Linked DNA regions of Drosophila melanogaster. The protein of the gene in region 2 interacts with the protein of the main gene of each other region in a pairwise test. Each region holds a gene or a part of one and is shown on either strand. Other genes may lie near its edges. The genes, in order: Not10, barc, GstD1 and wal.

The links.
Region 1: the proteins of barc (region 2) and Not10 interact in a two-hybrid assay, tested with the Drosophila melanogaster proteins (one large-scale study listed by BioGRID).
Region 3: the proteins of barc (region 2) and GstD1 interact in a two-hybrid assay, tested with the Drosophila melanogaster proteins (one large-scale study listed by BioGRID).
Region 4: the proteins of barc (region 2) and wal interact in a two-hybrid assay, tested with the Drosophila melanogaster proteins (one large-scale study listed by BioGRID).

Annotation. Positions count from the first base shown.
Region 1 is NT_033777.3:12,628,175-12,634,081, reverse strand, and holds Not10 (CCR4-NOT transcription complex subunit 10), read right to left. Parts: upstream 3,436-5,907; 5' UTR 3,368-3,435; coding exon 3,279-3,367; intron 3,205-3,278; coding exon 2,449-3,204; intron 2,389-2,448; coding exon 2,061-2,388; intron 1,965-2,060; coding exon 1,906-1,964; intron 1,848-1,905; coding exon 1,497-1,847; intron 1,432-1,496; coding exon 1,107-1,431; 3' UTR 894-1,106; downstream 1-893. Other genes in the region: CG18530 (uncharacterized protein), read right to left, coding at 1-600, 661-723; Snx3 (sorting nexin 3), read right to left, coding at 4,630-4,860, 5,098-5,193, 5,562-5,738. UniProt on the Drosophila melanogaster protein: Component of the CCR4-NOT complex which is one of the major cellular mRNA deadenylases and is linked to various cellular processes including bulk mRNA degradation, miRNA-mediated repression, translational repression during translational initiation and general transcription regulation.
Region 2 is NT_037436.4:21,430,135-21,435,778, forward strand, and holds the start of barc (barricade), read right to left. Parts: upstream 3,001-5,644; 5' UTR 2,860-3,000; coding exon of another isoform or gene 2,732-2,859; 5' UTR 2,721-2,731; exon of another isoform or gene 2,706-2,720; intron 2,671-2,705; coding exon of another isoform or gene 16-2,670; intron 1-15. Other genes in the region: CG33288 (uncharacterized protein), read left to right, coding at 16-2,670, 2,732-2,859; Aef1 (adult enhancer factor 1), read left to right, coding at 5,086-5,644.
Region 3 is NT_033777.3:12,366,740-12,371,351, reverse strand, and holds GstD1 (glutathione S transferase D1), read left to right. Parts: upstream 1-2,083; 5' UTR 2,084-2,149; intron 2,150-2,758; exon of another isoform or gene 2,759-2,776; 5' UTR 2,777-2,780; coding exon 2,781-3,410; 3' UTR 3,411-3,535; downstream 3,536-4,612. Other genes in the region: GstD9 (glutathione S transferase D9), read left to right, coding at 4,455-4,612. UniProt on the Drosophila melanogaster protein: Conjugation of reduced glutathione to a wide number of exogenous and endogenous hydrophobic electrophiles. Has DDT dehydrochlorinase activity. May be involved in detoxification.
Region 4 is NT_033778.4:11,687,511-11,692,746, forward strand, and holds wal (walrus), read right to left. Parts: upstream 3,354-5,236; 5' UTR 3,303-3,353; intron 3,235-3,302; 5' UTR 3,210-3,234; coding exon 3,168-3,209; intron 3,077-3,167; coding exon 2,936-3,076; intron 2,379-2,935; coding exon 1,569-2,378; 3' UTR 1,059-1,568; downstream 1-1,058. Other genes in the region: buffy, read left to right, coding at 1-226, 303-449, 510-818, 880-1,047; CG13197 (uncharacterized protein), read left to right, coding at 3,880-3,902, 3,990-4,065, 4,458-4,657, 4,989-5,035.

The DNA.
Region 1 (5,907 bases), on a different chromosome or scaffold from region 2:
TTTATTCAAAATCCGGTTGTGGAACATAAATTCGCAGTCGGGCATAGACATTATGAGCGTCCTGAGAAAAATTTGTCCCAGCGTGTGTGTGTGCCCCATAAAGACGGGCGGACCTAAGAGGATTGCGGTCTTCACAAACTGGTTATACTCCGGACGCATGCTGAGTAGCACCACCAGCGTGGTGCATCCCTGTGAGTGACCCACGTAGTGCACCGCACTTTGATTTGTGGTGCCCAGAATGTAGTCAATGAAAGCGGCCACGTCCTCCGTTCCAATCTCGTGCCAGCTGAAGCGCCAGAAGTCCTCATCGGAGGGATCCAAAGACACGTGGCGTCGGGAATACCGAGTGCCCCGCGAGTTACTCAGCCAAACGTCAAAGCAGGCGTCGGCCAACATGAATGGCAATGCATCCCGAGGTCCATTCACTAGGAAAACATCCGAGGAGGCGGTCATTCCGTGCTGGAAGAGAACCGCCGGCTTTGTTCCAGATTGCTCGCAATAGATTGAGTTCGGTATGCGGAACGCGTTGAGTAAATACCCATCTCGTGTGACCACTGTGTGAATTTCCACCGGATAGTTGTGCGAGGCTATGATTTCGGCCTTGGAAAAGAGAGCGTAGCACTTGCCTATAGCTATAATTATCGACTAAAAAGCACTTACAGAAGTTATTCCATTGACTATTTGAGTACAGACACTCAGAATGACAAGCGTTTTATACGGCATTTCGAGTAAGAGTAACTTGCACAAGTCAAAATAATTCTGACCCAACTTTTAAAATTCCTGAGATAGATACTTAAAATTTAAGTGTCCAACGCTTTAACGTAGAGGGTAATCTAATTTGTAGAATTCCTATGAAAAAGTCTCAATGACTGGAGTATGCAAAAGTTCAACGTAAAATATTGTGAGATAATTTGCTATTGCCAACACCAATTCTCTGTGTACAAATATATAAGCACATATGGATTAGTTAACAGACATTGTTTTATACACCTTGTTTGCACCCTGTAAAATGCTGAAAAACTGATGATCGTCAAACAAATAGTTCGCTTCCTCGTCATTTCATTCTTGCACTTTAATTCCGTCTAGTTATATACACAATTTGTTGTCTAACTCGGCGTCCCGCCAGGAACGGGACCCATTTTGAGGTCCATGAAGCGTCGCAAAGCAAGCGCCTTGTTGGCAACCAGCGAATGAGTTAAATTGGCCAGGAGTGCTTTAGCTTGAGGCAGGTCGTTCTGTAGAGCCATGGCAACGGCCAGATTATACCGCACAACGTTCTGAGCGGCGTCCACCGACTTCAGTTGCCAGTCACGCGTCTCAAAATCGAAGGCGTTTAGTGTGCCCACAAAAGTAGGGTCCAAATGGTCGCGTGCCTCGCTGGCCTTGTCCATAAGCATCAACGCCTCGCCAGCGTACATGTGACCTAGCAATCTGAAGAAAAAAAGGTAAATATGTTAAACCAAACATGGGAAGATTAAATAGAAACTGTATTGTACTTGTGTGCATCGGACAAGCGTTCACAGGCCAGCAGTTTTTCCGACATCTCGAGCGCGGTCACATGATCGCCTAGGCGCAGCGAGACGAAGCTGTGAGCAGCATATATGGCAGCCATCATGTTTTCCAAAGACTCTAGGCTGACTGGCTTCGAGGGATTGCAGAAGTTATTGTCCTGGGGATGACGCCAACTCTCCTGAGTTGGGTCCTTGGGTTCGGGTGCTTCCACATCCTCCGAGGAGACCGCCGCCATGTGAAACCTCGTCTTGTAGTGCTGCGTAAGCGTTAACGCGCTACGTAGACACAAGACAGCGAATTCCAGCGTGGGCTCTGGAACTCCCGCCGATTGAGGACTAAAATTAGGAAAAGTTTACTACCAGCAATGAACTAAGCTAACGAATTAGCACTTACGCGTATGGCTTTGTTGATGGCGTTTCTGACTGCGACTGGCGCTCCTCCTCCACTAGTTTCTTTAAAACAAAATAAAATAATTTGAGATTTAAGACAAATAAATACCCTATTGTGACTCTATTGTACTAGAACATGTTAGTGTAAAGTTGTCTTACCGCCTCATGCTCCATGATGCAGGCCTCAGCCATGCGCAGCCAAAGACGTGGATTGCTGTGGAATTGCTTAACGGGAACCAGAAAGCACTGAAACGCCTCCTTGGGGCGTCGTAGGTGCAACATGGCCACACCGAGGTTGTAAAGGATCTCGCAGGACCGTGCCGAACTCATGGTTTGCAGCGTACTCTGGCGCAAATTTCGCGCCAGCTGCTGGTCAAAGTTGAGCGCATTTTGGAAGAACTTGGCGGCGATGGCATAGTGACGCACTCTTAAGTGTATCACTCCCATATTGTTGGCAATGCACGTGCTCAGCTGGGGGGTTATAGTGCTATTAAGATAGACAATAAAATAGTATGTCTTCTTTGAACTTAAAATGAAGCAGACTCACCCCGCTTGTGTACACTCGTTATTGATTCGCATAAGCTGCTTGGCGGCCATCTGAAAATCCTTCATGATGTAGTACTGCTGAGCCTTCAGAGCAGCGTACTCCGGCGTGCCGTCTTCCTGAATAACCACCGGTTTTCGGTTAAGCACGAGCGTTATTAGCTGCAAGAGCTGCAGACTACCGCCCAGACCGGGCACAGCTCCCTCCACAGCTGCTCCTCCTGGTGAGGCCACCACTGAACTGTTCGTCGCTGCTGACGGAGGTGCTGTGCCGACAACAGCTGCCTCTTCGGCCGCATTGCTGCTAGGCGCTGTGGCCACCAGGTTAAGCTTGTACTGCAAGTAATCCAGAAAGGCCTCGGCTCGGTTTAGTTGATTGGTGGCCAGCAGCAGCTGTAGCTGTAGTGTGGCCACCAGCGCTGCCATTGCCTTCTCCAGGGCTTCCAGACGAGCCACTAGTGGTGCTAGTTTCTCCAGTGCCGTGCCGAACATATGGCGGTGATAATAGATGACCGCCCGGTTGTAACGAGCAACAGTGGCGGCGGCAGCTCCCTGCTTAAGGCTCAGCCCGCTGGACACGTCTCCGGGCGCATCTGCATCGGCGGTTAGAGCCTCCAGTTCTTTCAGCAGGACGGAGTGTTGGGTGCACCCGGTTTTGTAGTAGCTGACCACCGCCCGGTTGTGCCGCAGGACAGGACCACTGCTCTCGCCGCGCGTCTCCAACTCCTGGAGCAGTTCCAAGCAGCGATCAAACTCCGAGCTAGAATGAGGAGCAGCCGGAAAGGAGTGGCGGTTATGGGTGCACTTCCCGGTGACACGCGGATGAACACTCACTTGTTGAACTGCTCGTGCGCCTGGCACAGCAGACTGTAGTTCTCGTCCTCGCCGGCCTGCGTTTTGGTGGGGGATTCCGCCGAGTCCATGCCAAAAATAAATAAAAACAAAAAAACCGAACCAATCCACAGATGACACAGCGTTGCCAGAATCAACAAGCACAGCGTTGCCACTTTTAACCGTAACTAAAGCGGTTAACCTTATTAATAAATAAGTTAATTCTTAACATTAAACAACTTGTTAAATTTCTTGTTAATTTATTAATTAAAAATTAAATTGTTAATATGAACAAATTAAAATATATTCTATATAAAATTTTAACTTTACAATGGTCAAATTGGCATTTTGCTGTCGATAGGTGGCAGCACATCACTAGTCTAGATTTGCAGCGCGCGAAACCTATACCTTTATTTCAACTGAGACTTTTGTTTGTGATGATATATAATATTTAGAATAATAAAATATCCATTTATCGTTTACAATTTTTGATCCACCTACCCACCCAACTGTAATTATCCTTGCATTCAATCGAAGTTTCCTGTTTCATCATATTGTTATTAATCCTCGCCTGGTTTATATGATGGGAACTACATAGATTCAACATCGACCAGTTGAAGAACAAACTTCCATCCCGCAGAATTGGCTAGGAAAAAGGCTAATATTTTATACAAAACTCAACTTAATCTTCAGTTGCGCATCATTTTCAAGCACATTCAAATAATATCAGCAGTTCAATATTTTTGAATTATTTTAATTTGATTCGAAGTACAATATTATTCACTAAACTGTTTCAAAATATTCAATAATTTGCATACACTTACAAGGGATCGATTTTGGGGTCAGGATGGCTCCCTTATTTTATTTGCTGCTTCATTACCGCTGCAATGGTTCAAAACGAAGAAACTGAGGATCGGGAAAATGGGAGGGGCAGCTCCTACTTTCGAGACTCATTTAGCGAGGGCGTAGTAGGCATGTCTTATGTACACTATTCGTAAATATGTGTATTGTGTATAATATATATATATGTGTATGTATATTGTTATGTATACCATATAAACTTGAATTTAGCATTAAAAATTCCCAATGCTGGTTTTTAACTAATCCCCGGGGGCTGAGAGGGGCTCAACATTAACTGAGCAGCAGCACTTCCCGCCTCGTATCGCGTCGCATAACAGATCCCTTCTCCACCAACCTACATCATCGCTCATCTGCTCCATCCTCCTCCAATCCGGGCAAGCACACACATTCACACGGCTTCCCATAAAGATTTCGTAGCAGGTTTGTTCGTTCGAGTTTTTGCTTCATTGCATTGCTATGGTTAGGGGGTTTCGATTGCGCCGGACTAAGCTGCTTATGTGTTCCGAATCTTGCCGGGCACGTAGTTCTTATCTATGACATTCTCCTGCAGGAACATATGCAGGCAGCGCTCGTTCTGCGCCAGCGGATGTCCGGCTATCTTGTTGATGAAGGCCTCCAGTCCCTTGCGCCGCTCCTCGATGAAGCTTTCGTCAAAGATGCCCTCGTCGCCGCGGAAGGGCATCTGCCGCTTCCATGCCTTTCCTGGGAGTGGTGGCACCACAATCTGCGGGGATATGTATGTTCATGATTAAATACTCTTCAGGCGCTTATCGAAGTTTCCGTTTTCACTTATAAAACTCAGGGTTAAGTTTCCTCTTAAGGATTGAAACTTTTCTAGTGGCTTCTTATAATTACAATGTATTGTTTCGTAATTCTATCTAAATAGATTCTGAATAGTGCGGATTTTGAATCTATTAAAGTGAAAACGAAAGACTACCGCCTGGATCACACTTGTCCGTACCTTGCTATCCCGCTCCAGCTCGTTTCGCAGCCACTCAAAGTCGCTGTAGCGTCGCCTGACACTGGACTCCTTTACCTTAAAGACGGGCAGATTGGTCTAAAAAAGGAGCGATGGTTAATCATATGTGGTGGCCAATCTTATAGAGTAATTCAATGAAAGGTCGGTGCCGCATAAAGGCACCCGCATGCCGCATTTCCGTGACTCAAGCCGTGACACTGGAATCAGTGCTCTGCACTTGTGACTAATGTTTATCGGCCGGCTCGCTTTATAGGCGTATCACCCGCACTCACACACACACACACACACACACACGCACGCACACACACATGCACAGCGAGACAAAGTCGCACGAACACATGCACACAAGTGTGTGAGCGAATTCCAGCGATTATCAATGGTTTTTTCGGTGAATTTTGGAAGGTGCATAGGTGGTGCCCCCATGTACATGTACTACGATCACTCACCCGCATCCGGACCTCGTAGTCCGTGTAGCGCTTCTTGCCCGCCGCCATGGTGGTCAGCGGATTGACCACGTCGATCTCCAGGAAGTTGGCGGGCACGGCGTACGCATCGTCCAGTGTTTGCTTCTTCACGTTTAGGCGGCGGGTGGCGTCGGCGGTTCCATCGGACTCAACCATCATAGTGGTGCAATGCCAGGGGCTCCGGATCGGCAGAGCTATAGACGCCCCTTTTATCGGTTGGAAGAAACGGGTTTTGCACTGGCTATCTCTCTTTGTGCACTTCTTTGTCGCGGCTCGCTGCCTCCGATGTCCCGGATTCTGGTACTATTCAATTGCTGTCCCCGAGCAC
Region 2 (5,644 bases):
ATTTCTCTTTTAAAGCCACTGGTCGTTTGATCGGTTGTGGCTCCAATGCCCAGCTGCAGTTAGGAGAACTAGAGGCAGACTACGATGGTCATCCGGTAGAGATTCGTCTTGATGCACCGGTGCAGCAGTTTACCTGCGGGCCGGAGTCCACGCTAGTTTTGACTGCCACCGGGAACCTCTTTCTCACCGGTCACCTCAATGAGTTCGTCTTTCCGCGCTTCACTGAGCTGCAGAAAAATCTGCCGCCCACCGAGGCCATCATCTTTATGCACATTTCCAAGACCAGCGAGGTGTACATTGTTACAAATGCGGGCAGCATCTATCGCAGCTTCGAGTCGCTGCGGAACAAGAGTCTGGTCTTCCAACGTTTCTATGACTACGACTGCGAGGAAAACGGACCCATCTGGAAGCTCCTTAAAGGATTCTCGTTCTATGCGGTTCTCAGCAAGGCCAACAAGTTCTTTACTACGTTCTCGGAGAGCGGCCATCATTTGAAGACCTTCCGTGAAATTTCCAAGTTTAAAAACCTGCGACTATTGGACATCGCAGTGGGGGATCAACACGTCCTGGTGCAGGGCATACCGCGTTCCTCGATGTCGTCTGCATCTGTAAATGGATCAGCTGAACCAAATCGCTACGTGAACCGTAGTTTTGTGTTGCAGCCGACTGATGCCAATGGAAACAAAGAGGATACAAGGACACACAGCGGAAGAAGCCTTATCAAACAAGAGGGCATGGAGGAAACTGAGGATCTATCAATGTCGACTACTGTGGGAGAATTGGCAGCTGCAGCAGGAGCCGGAACAGCGGCGGCCATGGAGGCAGTGAAACATTTAATTAATGGTGAGAAACCAGAAGAGAAGTCAGATTTAACTCGTTACCAAGACTTGAATGCAAATATCGAAAGTGCAGACATTATACCTAAAGAACACAAGGAAGCAAAGGGTAGTGATGAAATAGGTCCAAACTCAAATATTTCTGAAAAAGAGGAAGATAATCAAATTGCAGATCGGGTTACACCCGGAAACAAAAATGAAAGCGCAGCAGATCAAGAGAAATCAGTTCACAGTCCGAACACAGCTGCCACAAGTGAAGCAATCAAAACAAATGATGGATATAAAGAGATGAAGCCATCGGCAACTATAGAGTCCCCCGTTATAACAGCGGATACAAAAGAATCATCACTAAAACCAATCGTTTCCCCTGTGAAAACAAAACGCTCACCAGCTAAAACCATTGAATCTTCAATAAAATCAAGCTCATCTCCTGTGAAGCCTACGGAATCGATGCAGAAGCTACCCACTCCTCCTACACATACACCAACCCCTCCCAACTCCCCCACAGAATCTTTAAGGTCGAATAAATCCGCACACGATATGGAATTAGTTGATCCCAAGCCGAAAGTGCCTGGCAGCCAGGAAACACTTTTACGCCCACGCACGCCTTATCCCGAGAGCAGTAATTCTAGCACACCGCAGACAATAAAAAAGACGCCTATACGAAACTTTTCATACGAGTCTGCCATGGACCATGACCATCTGGAGAGGACTTCTCCCGAACTGGTCTCTAGTCTGGACACAGTGGAGGAAGTACCTACGGCCAAAATTCACGTGAACACACCAACACCGCCCACGGAAGACGATGAGCACCTGGCCGTGGAAATAACCACAACGAAGGACTCAACGGACAGCAGCAAAGTGATCAACGAAATACGGTTCATAAACGACGGAGTGGATGTGACGTCCAGGGTAGAGGAACAAATGCCAGATACACCACTGGAGAGCTCCGTGGAGGATCTGGAATCAGATGGAGAGCAAAAAATGCAGCGTGGTGAGGAGCAAGTTGACAAAATTGTGACGAGCTCTGAGGAGGCGGTGTCCAAAGTCGGCGAAGACGCGATAGATGTCATGGACTCCACTCGTAACTCGATTCAAACAGCGGTAAAAAATGCAGCAAATGGAGCTCGTGATGCCATGGAAGCTGTAGGCGAGCGAATGGCTACTGGAGCTCGAGGAGCCGTGGATACCGTGGGAGGAGCAGTAGGAGCGGCGGGTAAAGGTGCCCATCGGTTGGCCAGCGATGCAATGCACGCAGTGGAACAAGTAGGAAGTAGTGCAATGCATGCAGTGGAGCAGGCGGGCAGTAATGCGGTCAAAGCAGCCTCGGAAACAAAAGATTCGATGGGCAGGGCTATGGATTCGGTGACCAGCAAGATCTCTACTGAAGTACTGGGCGCCAAGGAAAACATCTCCTCATTGTTTCAGATAAAAGCGGCGAGGGAGGCTGATCCACAGACCACGCCATGTTCCACACCTCGCGGCGAGGATGACTTGTCCTTCAAAGAGGGGGCACCAAAGACCACCACAACGTTGGGTTCCAACGAGGAGGATGAACGAACAACGGCCTCTGTAAACTCAAACCACAATTCTGCAGGACATGGCAATGGTAATGGCAACATCTTCGAGCCAAGCACTACCTTTGAAGACCCTCTAGATGCAGTGGTGGAGCGCAGTAAGAAGGCGATGCAGGATGACATTCGGGCCATGCAACTGAGGGCAAATTCCCATATTCAAGCTGTGGCCCAGCAGAAGGAGGAAGATGCTAAGGGATTCGTGAAGCAGGTGATGGACAGGCTCTCGTGCCGTAACGAAAAAGCGGTCAGGATCGAAGGTACCTTTCAGTATAGTCCTTCAGTATATACTTACCTAAATTCTGCTTACCTTCCAAATAGATGAACTGCGTCCGCCGGCTGGAAGTCACAACAAAAACACAAACAAAGTTAACAGCGAGCTGAGTTTAACCAATGGGCAGGCACATGGTGATCAGTCGCAGGCTTCGCGGGTCTGCACGATTTTATAAAACTTGCACCTGCACTTTTCTGAGCAATTGCATTTGGTCTTTAAGTACAATTTAATAAAAAATAATGCAAACGAAATTCCTATACAAAAGTTCTGCACCGGGCAGTGTGACCGTACTGTGGCGGGAGGAAAACCTCTCAAAAACGAAAGAAAACTTACATATTCCTATGTGAATGACTTCAGTGGAACTAGCTCATTTAGCATAGAGATGGCAATTCGATATTCACGAGAAGTCACATTAGAAAATGATTTTATATTAATATGGTGGGAAAAAAAATAATTATAAAGATGTGCTGGCCTAAATAAATCTGAGAATTTTCCCAAATTTGATCTCTTATACCAACTTTCCCATTGAGTTCGGGGCAGTCATCGTGATTCCTTCACACTCGTGATCAGTAACAGGTCCCCCATAGCTATCGCCCATCCCCAATTGGCACTAGTTCATTCGCGTCTATTTTGTACGCGAAACAGTAAAAAAAAGAAAAGAAATATTTGTACTATTTTTCTAACGTTTATACGCTTTTTATAAATGAAGAACCAGCCACAGATAATGCTGTGAGGACCCGATTCTGATAGGCGAGAGCAATACGCGAACACCCTCCGAAAGGCCCATATCCCCCAAAAAACCGAATCGAGTGCGAAAAATGATGTAAAACGGGGGAAATCTAAACCTGAAAGGCCCCACACAGCACAGCCACAAAATGGAAAGGTAGGTCAATGTGTGGGCGCCCGAAAAGAGTTCAAGTGTGTCACTCAGTATACCCAATTCCGTCTGGAATCATTTGGCAAAAATAGCGTTTATAGACGTGTGAAAAACAATGGACATTTTCGAGCGGAGAGCTCCAAAATTAAAAGTATCCTAACCTCAAAAGAGCTTTTACACAGTACGTGTACGTGTGTGCGCTAGTGATGTCCATACGTGTGTGCGACTGAAAGTGGTTGTGACTTTTAGCTGAAGAAGGGAGCGCGAGGGGCGATCTAGAGGCAACGTGTTAGTGGAAAAACTGCTTTTGAAAAAAGGGGAAAATATCCCCCAAAAAGCCCGCCCAAAAAAGGTCAGTTCGGAATCCTGTCGATCTCGCCTCCGTTGAGATTGTTATCCAATTGGTAAAGTTATCACTAAGTTCTTAAGTTGCCAGAAAAACACATGTAATTTGGCGAGAAAGTAACACGCTGTCAATTCAACACAAAAAGAGAGATACCTGAGTGCTCCATGTGTGTGCGTGTTGTGTTGGCCTCAGTGTCTATCTTGTCTGGTGGGTGAGCAGGGGGCGGGTCAGGTAACTTGTCCGGCGAACGTAAAAACCAGCGTTCAAAAAATATATTAAAAGTTACATGCATGCAAGCAGCGCGCGTTTTATTTTGTTTCAAAATGCATAATCAATCGTATGTTTAATAATTTATGCTCTTTGACGTATATTCGAAGTTTTCATACCATCGAAGTCATAAAAATCTTTTAAGGATTCGGTCATCCGTTATGGATCTTATTTAAAAATTACTCATCACAGTTTGTTTGTGAGTTTAATATTAGTATGGCTCTTTAATAAATGTTATAAAGCCCGAAAATATTTACTCTCGCAAGAATATTGCTTTGAACGCTTAATACGTTAATCATTATACCTGAATGATTTAAAACATAGTTTCACACCGTAAAGTAAGCCAGTTACCTCCTTACAAACATGTATGGATATGTAAGCCGTGTAGTTCCAAATACTTATTTATGTAGAGAGGCTTGCCTAAAGGAGACGAAGGAGTAATATGCTAGTTAGGACACAAAATGGGCTTCAATGCGTTTCACTAATAAGGGCACACAAAGAACCATAGGAACCATATGGAAAGGGGGCTTCAAGGGGAGGAAGTGGAGCTGGAGCCGGGAGCCCAGCTATCAAAGTGTGTCAGCTATTGAATAATTTAGATTTATAATTTCGCAGTTAGGTATTTCGTATGTTTTGGGAATTCCTCACATATTTTTGCATACCAAAAAGCCAAGCCGCCGACTCAACTAATCCCAATCTCCCTTCTCCAAACACAGGCACTAGCAGCAACAACATCAGAGAAGCGCCCAAGATGAGCATGTCGTGGCATTTTTGAAGCATCGATCTTAGTTTGTTAGCCAGCTTTCTGTTCAAGTCACCGAGGTACCGCAGTCTCCCTCCACTATTCCACCAGATTCAAATCCAGCTTCGAATCCCGAATCCAGACTACCTAATCCCAGCAAGAGCAGTCCATGATGCATATCAAAAGCCTGCCCCATGCCCATGCCGCTGCTACGGCGATGAGCAGTAACTGCGACATTGTCATAGTGGCCGCCCAGCCCCAAACCACCATAGCAAACAATAATAACAATGAGACGGTCACCCAGGCCACGCATCCGGCTCACATGGCGGCGGTTCAACAGCAGCAGCAACAACAACAGCAACAGCAGCAGCAACATCATCAGCAGCAGCAACAGCAGTCGAGCGGACCACCCTCTGTGCCGCCGCCACCCACGGAACTCCCCTTGCCCTTCCAGATGCACTTAAGCGGGATCTCGGCGGAGGCGCATAGTGCCGCCCAAGCAGCGGCTATGGCAGCTGCCCAAGCTGCAGCAGCCCAAGCTGCTGCGGCGGAACAACAGCAACCGCCGCCACCAACTTCACATCTGACGCACCTGACCACGCATAGTCCGACAACGATCCACAGTGAGCATTACCTGGCCAATGGACATAGCGAGCATCCCGGAGAGGGCAACGCTGCCGTTGGCGTAGGGGGAGCTGTCCGCGAGCCGGAGAAACCTTTCCACTGCA
Region 3 (4,612 bases), on a different chromosome or scaffold from region 2:
AATCAAATGCATACGAAGGTTTTTTAAATGTTAAAAATCAAACTTCAATAAGAACAAGAGAAAACAAGTGGAAGAACAGGAAAAATTTTCAACATTTTTTGTTGACATTTCGAAAAATATGTTCAAAAGTATGTTCAAGCCGTCATATGGAAGTAAGAGTACATGTGGACACACCCCAGATCTTCATAAATTTAATAATAATAATTTATTACTTTTTTATATATCAATCTAAACTTGAACATATTCAGTTTTATGGTATAATATGTATTCTAAAGCGGAGATCGGAGAAAGATCAGCGCAGCTGTACACAAAGCGAATCACCGGCAAACGGAATCGAGAAAGTAGATGTATGTAGGCTAAATGTGCTCATATGGGAGGCCGGCAGAAGATCTCGATGATGTGGAGGTAAGAGATTATTGGGGCTCTTCGTCCTATCCATTCTCTTTGGCTTTGCTCTTTAAATAGTTTGCGCTTTTCACTTTATTTTCCTGTGACGCACATTTGGCAATGCCGTCCAACTGGTTTTTTTGATCTGCAGTGGCAAACACAGTGACCTTTCTCTACATTTTACGCTACCTTTTGGGCCGGCTTTTTGGTGAATTAACCCAACCAGTTATTGGCGAACTTATACTTACGATCTCGTGTTTCCCATGATTCAGCTGGATTTCGGCATTATGTTCAAATGAGTAACTCTCGGAACTTGGGGTTCGGAATTTTTGATTTCACAATCGTTTTGTGGATTGTTCTCGACGTTAAGAGCGCAATTTGTTTGACGTGTCGCCCACGAAAATGCTCTTTCCATTTTTTCCTACTTGTTATTGAATTTTTTTGCCCGGTCATGCTGATAGTTGGTATTGCGAATTGTGAAACTGATAAAAGCGAATTTGTTTTGGGGAAATTAAATACCCCCAGCGAAGTGTAGCAGGAATATTCAAGTGTTCGCCTTTGATAGTATCAAATACTTCCAAGAAATGAAAGTCTAGTATTCCTTTTCATGTTATATGGTCACAGCAATTACTTATTAAAACCCAAGGCCGTCATAACAAACACAAACAATAAAAGTCGATCGATATATGGACTAAGCCCATCCATATTGTTACATTGAAAATGTGTACCAGTAATTTCGAATTTGCATGTGCCTTTGACTCATCATTTAATCTACTACTATTTGTCTACCATAGCTTGGGCTTACCCATTAAAATTATTACTATGAGTCAAAGTATATTGAATAATTCGAAAAACGGTTATATTTTTATGGTCTTATTAGTACGGTATGAGCCTTTCGCGATTTGCTTGTGTGTTGGAAATACTCGACAACTGTTGCTATATATGTACATATGTACATACATACATATATGTTTGCCTGATATCAATGTTTGCCGGCCGGCTTGAATTCTTATCTGGTTTCTGTTTGCCTGCTTATTTGTTTGTACTTATTTTTTTTTGCATTTTAAAAGAATTTATGTTTTTTCAGGCGCACAGATGTTCATTAGAAATGCAAAATTGTGTTTCAAGCTAATCGATTGCATGCTTATGTGTTTGCTAATCTTAGCAAGTCGATGTGTAAATACCCTACGATTAATAATACCTGTATGGCAGGATTGTATCTTCTTTGTTATCTGTTTGTTAAAATCAGAAATTATAAAGAAATGTAACAAAATTTGTTCTTAAGCGAGTAAAAGGCTTCGTTCCAATGGAGGATCATTAGAAAGTTGCAGCTTTCTTTTGCGGGGGTATGGTGGAGGTGTATGAGGGAACGGATAGAGTGCAACCTCCTCCAGAGCACGCACACACACACTATCAATCGTCTCCACACACCCATGGCCACACAACAGTGTATTAATCACGCCGCTAACGTCACATTTTTGCCCGCCATTAGTGGGTATGTGTGGGCAAGTCAGAATATAATAGAAGACAAAAAAAAAACCCAGGCACGACAACAACTAGCAGCCCCCTCTCTCTCTCTCTGTACCTCTCTCCCCACCTTGCCACGCCCCGCGGGGCGCTTCAAGCTACAACTCTTGTTTGCCGGCATTGTGGCGACCACAGCCGGCCCCTATAAAAGTGGGCTCGCTCTTCGAATTCCGTTCAGTGCTACTTTTCATTTGATACAGTGTACATCGCGAGTTTCACAACAGAAGAAAAAAATGTAAGTTCCCCACAGCAATTTCTATATATATTGTGTTTTGTGATTGTGTGCCTGTGTTTGGTCAAAAATAAAAGGAAATATTGGCAGCATGGAAAATTACCAACATTTGAACGTATTATAGCCCCGATATGACATCATAGCCAAGTGAACTTCTGTAATGGCGGCCCAATTAAAGTCCGCTTTTGCTGAACTTGTAATTATAGAGCGCGTCTAATTGTGGCATATCTTTCTAGCATCCAGATCTATTCTGTTTGCATGCCATATGGATAATGTGTATAATACAGAAGCAATTTGGGTCTCAAGAAGGGGGAGATTGTTAATTTAAATATGAATGCGACGCTTGTGGATATGCTTGAAAAAGTTTGGTGCTCACATCTAAATTTGAAAAGAAGTTGGAGATTTGTTCACTCCAATCAAATATGGCGGACTCACAATTGTTTTCAGTTTCTTTTCAACTTGATTCTTCTTCCATTTAAAACCCAAATTAGAAATACAAATGAATGCCCTAAGCTTTTAAATAACCGTTGGTTAGAAATTAGCGAAGATAATAATATTTCTTAACAAGTTGGCTACAAATTATTTATTGCGAGCACTGTAACTAAATGATAGTTCTTCGAACTTCTACAGTAAAATGGTTGACTTCTACTACCTGCCCGGCTCCTCCCCCTGCCGCTCCGTGATCATGACCGCCAAGGCCGTGGGCGTCGAGCTGAACAAGAAGCTGCTCAACCTGCAGGCCGGTGAGCACCTGAAGCCGGAGTTCCTGAAGATCAATCCCCAGCACACCATTCCCACGCTGGTGGACAACGGATTCGCGCTGTGGGAGTCCCGCGCCATCCAGGTGTATTTGGTGGAGAAGTACGGCAAGACCGACTCCCTGTACCCTAAGTGCCCCAAGAAGCGCGCCGTGATCAATCAGCGCCTGTACTTCGACATGGGAACGCTGTACCAGAGCTTCGCCAACTACTACTACCCACAGGTGTTCGCCAAGGCGCCCGCCGATCCAGAGGCCTTCAAGAAGATCGAGGCCGCCTTCGAGTTCCTGAACACCTTCCTGGAGGGACAGGACTACGCCGCCGGTGACTCCCTTACCGTAGCCGACATTGCCCTGGTGGCAACCGTGTCCACATTCGAGGTGGCCAAATTCGAGATCAGCAAGTACGCCAATGTGAACAGGTGGTACGAGAACGCCAAGAAGGTGACTCCCGGATGGGAGGAGAACTGGGCCGGATGCCTGGAGTTCAAGAAGTACTTCGAATAAGCCTGATATTCACGTTTTTATACCCGTACATATGATGTAGTATTTATATTCACGTTCACAAACAACAATTCCAAATTCGCCTGTCTCCAAAGACAATAAATAAGTGTTCTTTTTTTTGAATGCACAAAATACAAATGAGTTTGTTTTTAGATGGGTGTACATTTACATATATTACTATGTGTATGTGGATAGTGGATATTGTGGATAGGGACTGCAATTGAATAAGTGGGCTCTCTTGATGCTCGTTATTTTCTCTTTGATGCCAGGGGTGATTCTCTTTCCTCTTTTGCTAAATCTCTCCGAATCGAGAGGCAAACAAAAAAAGATAATAAAAGATAGAATATTTTCGCGATGCTCGTTAGTTTTATGTGGTGAAGGCCTCAAAAAAGAAGCTTGAAAATCTGTAAGGAAAAAGTGAGAAATTATCAGACTTAAATTCATTGGTGAAATAGATTAGAAACTTAGAGTGAATTTCGTTTTGGTTCTGAAATTTTCATCAGAAAGGCAGCTCTTGTAATTTCTTGTTCTTCAAAAAGCTTTTAACGGTAGATAACAAAGTGGAAAATTACCAAGTTAAATTATTCATTTAAAAGGAAGCAAATCTCGACATATTTTATATATTATGGGCACCATTTTTAATAAAAACACAGTTTGTAGATATTTATGTTATTTTTCTGAGAGAATGTTTAACTGTCTCAATAAGCTTTTATCAAAATGGGTGCATTATGTGCATTCCAAGGTGCATTAACGACCATGTTTTCTCAATAATTTTTTTTTGTGTCTTGCGCCACCAATAACTTTAACTTTAGTTTTAAAAACAAAATATGATCTGAAATGTAAACATCTGAGCGGGTAGAGTCGATATATCACGAAATTCTAAGAAAAATATCCAATGCAATTTGATACAATTATACAAACAAACAAACATTCCAATGAAAGCTGTCTCGTTAAGTCTAATCTAGCCATCGTTGAAGGGAACAACAGTATATAAGGACAATTTGACGTAAACTAATTCAGTATGATTTTACAGCTCAGCGAGTAATCATGTTGGACTTCTACTATATGCTCTACTCGGCACCTTGCCGTTCCATCCTGATGACGGCCCGTGCCCTGGGATTGGAGCTGAACAAGAAGCAGGTGGATCTGGATGCCGGCGAGCATCTTAAGCCGGAATTTGTAAAGATCAATCCTCAGCATACGAT
Region 4 (5,236 bases), on a different chromosome or scaffold from region 2:
TCCGATGGCCACCACACAAAGTGAGCGCCTCTTGCAGGCCCAGAATCGAAGAAAGTTCAGTTTTCCAGCCACACTACATTCCGCATCACTACTGGAGGTTGGTGGTGGTCCCAAGGAGACCACGAGGCGTAGGTTGAGTAATGTCAGCGATGCCGTCACCAGGAAACTCTCCTACACGATTGGCTGGAAGGCGGCACAGATTCCAGCGCAGGATATCATTTCTCAGGTGAGCTGGTAGACGAGGAATTCCTTGCACAAACATATAATATCGCCTGATTCCAAAAATCATAAAAAAACCGAAGGGTCGTTGCCTGTGCGGTCATTATATCAAGAGACGCCTCAGAAGATCTGGTTTGTTCAACAAAAAGCTGGGACTGCAGCGCATACGTAGCATACTGGGCTCCACCTCCATGGGCATTGTGCGCGATGTGTTTCCAGCGGTCCAAGTGGTAAGCAAAAAATAACGCTTTATTTTATTATATTAATCATTTTACACACCTTTGCCCAAGCTGGGCGATGAACTGGAGCGCATGCATCCCCGGATATACAACGGAGTAGCTCGTCAGATTTGCCGGAATCCGGGTGGTGAGTTCCATACTCCGGATGCTGTGAGCTTGCTTTTGGGAGCCGTTGGTCGCGAGCTCTTCCGGGTGGAGATTACGTGGAGCAAGGTGATCTCTCTGTTCGCCATCGCCGGTGGGCTGTCCGTTGATTGTGTACGCCAAGGACATCCGGAATACTTGCCCAAGTTGATGGAGAGCGTTTCCGAGGTGATCGAAGATGAGCTGGTTCCGTGGATTAACGAGAATGGTGGTTGGGTGAGTTTCTCCGATCATTTCATAATTGTCGAGGTTTCATTTCAATGATTTTCCATTTTAGAGTGGCATCAACACACACGTTTTACCCACTACCAACAGCCTGAATCCTTTAGAGTGGACCACTTTGGTTATAGGCGTAGTTTTTGGCCTAATTCTAGTTTTTATGATTCTGCGATTTATATTTAACTTGATTGTACCAAAAATATACCAACGATTTACGAATTCCTAAACATTTTGTTTATTAAGCGTAAAAATCCTATTGATTTGATCTATAATCTTTTTTTGTACACAGTTTTCACATTTTCACACTTTTTAAAAAAGTTCGCAATTGGCGAGAAAGCTTTTTGATGCTTTTAGCTACAATTTGTTTTGGCTTGATCAGCTTTCTAGTATAACTAATTTAATTAATAAAGCTCTCATAAAAGCTTCTTGAAAAATAAATATACGATGGGAAACTGATAAGGAAACCAAATCCTAGACTAGGTGCAATCTGCAATGCCAGTAAACAGTTTATCCTAGTTGAATTTTGGTTATTGCTAGCCCTGGGCCTTTTTTAAATATTTTGCTGATTTAAACAGTTGCACTCAACTGATAAGACTACAATTTTCACATAGAATAGGTCTTCGGCTTGTTTTATTACAAAATTTAAGGGAAAATCTTCCACGGACTTATGTCAAAATTCAAATAAATGCAACAGTTATCAATTCATCGGTACACAATCTTTATACTACAGCAAGTGACAATCTCGCCTTACAACTTTCCGGTTAGTTCGGGCACGGCCTTGAAAAGATCTGCCACGATGCCAATATCGGCGACCTGGAAGATGGGCGCTTCGGGATCCTTGTTGATGGCCACAATCGTCTTGGAGTCCTTCATGCCAGCCAAGTGCTGGATGGCGCCTGAGATTCCGACAGCGATGTACAGCTCGGGAGCCACAATCTTGCCGGTCTGACCGATCTGCAGATCATTGGGCACAAATCCAGCATCCACGGCAGCACGAGAGGCACCCACAGCGGCACCAAACTTATCGGCCAGATCATACAGCAGCTTGAAGTTATCTCCGGACTTCAGGCCCCGTCCTCCGGACACAATAACCTTGGCTCCGGCCAGCTCGGGGCGATCGGACTTGGTCAGCTCCTGGGATACAAATTCGGACAGGCTGCTGGCGAAGTCACCAGCTGGTGCCTGCTCCACGGCTCCACTTCCACCGCTGGTGGCTGCCGGTGGGAAATTGGTGCTCCTTACGGTGATCACCTTAACGGCGTCCTTGGATTTCAGGGTGAGGATAGCATTTCCGGCGTAGATAGTGCGCACAAAGGTGTCGTCCGACTTAACATCGATGATCTCCGAAATGGGCGACACATCCAGCTTGGCCGCCACGCGTGGCAGCACGTTTTTGCCGAAAGCCGAAGCTCCGGCCAGGATGTGGGTGAACTTGAACTGAGACTGGGCGGCCAGGACCAATGGGGTCAGCGACTCCGCGGTAAATCCGTTGAAGGCGGCATTTTCGGCCACCAGAACCTTGGTCACGCCATCCACCTTGGAAAGAGCCTCGGAAGCCTGGAAAACAAGAGAGTGATTATGTAAGATTATCTATCGCACCAAATACTTATGATCAGTGGGAGTCGCTCTTGGGTGGTTCGATGCTTTATAATTTAAATGTCTTGGTATTTTAAAATGGTCATCTATTGAAATCACTTTGCTCGGCATTTTTGAAATATGGTTACTATATATTGTATCTAAGTAAGGGTTCACCAATCCAAAATCAAAACATTTTTTTCTAAATTTTTAGTTAGTTTTAATCTAGTATGAAAATTGGAAAACTGGAATGTAGCAAGAGTTAAGTGGAAAATAGATTGGACCCTTTTTAAAGTGTACTTATAGTCAGAAGTATATAATCAAGGTTAACAATTCCTATCTCTTAGATGCAGTATTACCAACAACTCAAAAGTCTTGTTTTCTAATGAGATATGTTTATATAATCCTGTGCCGGTTTGATTTCTACCAGATCGCAAAGGTCTTAGGATGCATGTTCAGCCTATTTGATTAGATTCGTTGATGATTCGAAATCCCTGCGAATGGAACCACCCTAATGTGAGACTTCTTGGGGGACTTACGGGTCCGCATTTTGTGCCTGCCACCAGAACTGTGACGTCACCACCGATCTTCTTGGCCGCAGAGATGGTGTTCAGGGTGATCGGATTGAGTACCTCATTGTTGTGCTCAGCCACCACCAAAGTGCTCTTGCATCGCTGCAACTGCAAGTGGGAAAATTGATATTTTGTTATTTAATTTTTAGCGATCACCGCCTGCGCTTTTTTTTTATCTTTTTAAGAAATTTCCACTCACAATGCTGCTGCGCATAAGATTACGCGTGTTGCTGGCGAACATTTTGGATGTTGGATGGTTATTGGAGCTATCCACGCGAGGGAAAATTGTTGTTTGATTAATTTAAGTCCATTAATATTTAATTAAAACTCTTACCTTCGCTGTAAAATCACAGAAAGTCCAAAGGTTTCCGCTGATTTAAGCGTTTGCCGTTTTTTGGTACCTCCTAGCCAATACACAACAGCTGTTACTTAACAGATGGAGCAACAGATCTATGTGAACTTTAAGCAGCAGGAACTTAAGTGAAAAAATGAACATATATAAAATATAATCTTGGAATTATTGATTAATGGACTTATTTAATTTAATTTTATTATCCATTTAAAAAAATATGCAAGCCGATTAATATTACTAGTCATAAATTTGTAAAAGAGCTTAATGAAGAATGAAGTATTAAAAAAATTACATTTATTATTAAATAGAAACATTAAATATAGATTATAAATGTTATTACTTCAGTTAAAGAGCGAATGAGCGAGAGTTTTAAAAATAATCGTGACCAGTCACAGTTTAGCTAACAGTGTCAACTCAGCAGCATATGTTGAGTAATCTCTTAAAGTAATCTGGCAACACTGGAATAAGAATTATTTCTTTGCAAAACATTGTCAACAATTTTGAAGAACTTCGAAATTTTATTTTTAAATTTCGGTAAAAGGTTTGGCGAACAGACAAAATGGTCAAGGACATACCAGACAGGTGAGTGCAGTTTAGGAGAATATCCCAAAGAAACCCGTGTTGTTTATGCTGGTCATTTTTTCATGTTACTTTTTGTACCAATTGCAGATGGCTGAAGTACAAACCGATTGGAGATCGTGTTCCTGGCACTCGTTTCATAGCCTTTAAGGTGCCGCTGAATCAGGTGAGTTCCCGATGATCCTCCGCCCGCCCAGTGGCGTACCACACTCCATCCGAGATCCAAGAAACCGGTTGACAGGAGAGCCGCCAATTGATGGATGTTGAAAACCCAGGATCTGGACCACCGACTGAGCGGCCCTCTAAAAATATAAATAACAACGAACGACGACGAAATTTGTGCATTGTAATTATGCATAAAAGTGGCAACTGGAACATGGACCCCACATGAATATTAAATTAAATTGTTTTTGCTTAATTAAATAACGCCACGGATCCACGGCCTTTATTAATTGCCAGCCCTCCGGGCATTTTGCATAAATTGAGCAATCTATGGCCGCCCATTGTAATGCCCTCGTATATTTGCTCAGCTCCCTTCTTTTTTTTTATCTTTTGCAGCATGTCAACGCCAAAGTGAAGGAGAATCTTCGGCTGGCGCCCGAATCCCTTCTGCAGATCGTACCCGATATGGGTCTCATCATCGATTTGACCAACACGAATCGATACTACCACCCAAGTGCCATAACCAACCACGATGTGCTCCACCAGAAGCTGATGATCCCCGGAAAACAGACACCCTCGCATAAGCTAGCCCAAAGGTAATTATGAATTTAAGCAACTATTAATAGGAAAATTTATTAGCTCTGGTTCGAAAATGTTGTAATTTTGGAACATGGTTTGGATAAGTCTTCATCTTCTTATTATAAGAACTATATTGTAGGCAATGTTCCTAATAATTACAATATTAATAATATTATTAATATCGTTAGTTGGATCGTTTTAATGCTCGCATAAATGTGGTTTTGCAATATGCATTATTTTAATTTTGCTTTGTTTTTGGAATGAAATGAAAAGAAATTCTAATTTGTTATTCAATCCAAGATATTACCAATTCATGTAATGATCCATCTCTTTCCTATGTCATTGCAGATTCTGTGCTTTCGTGACTGACTTCCTTGAAAGGAACGCGGATAATGGTGAGTGCTGACAATTCATCCCACACATCATGATCTTTGGGCGCACGCTGCCGTGGGAAACGCTTTCCCGTCGACAATGCAGATTCAGATGCATATCTGTCCACGCAATTAGGTCCGCAAAATATGCAAACAAATCGTATCAAAGGGGGCACCCGCAATTACCACGTATCCTAATCCCTGGCTGCACTGCCTCCAAAGATT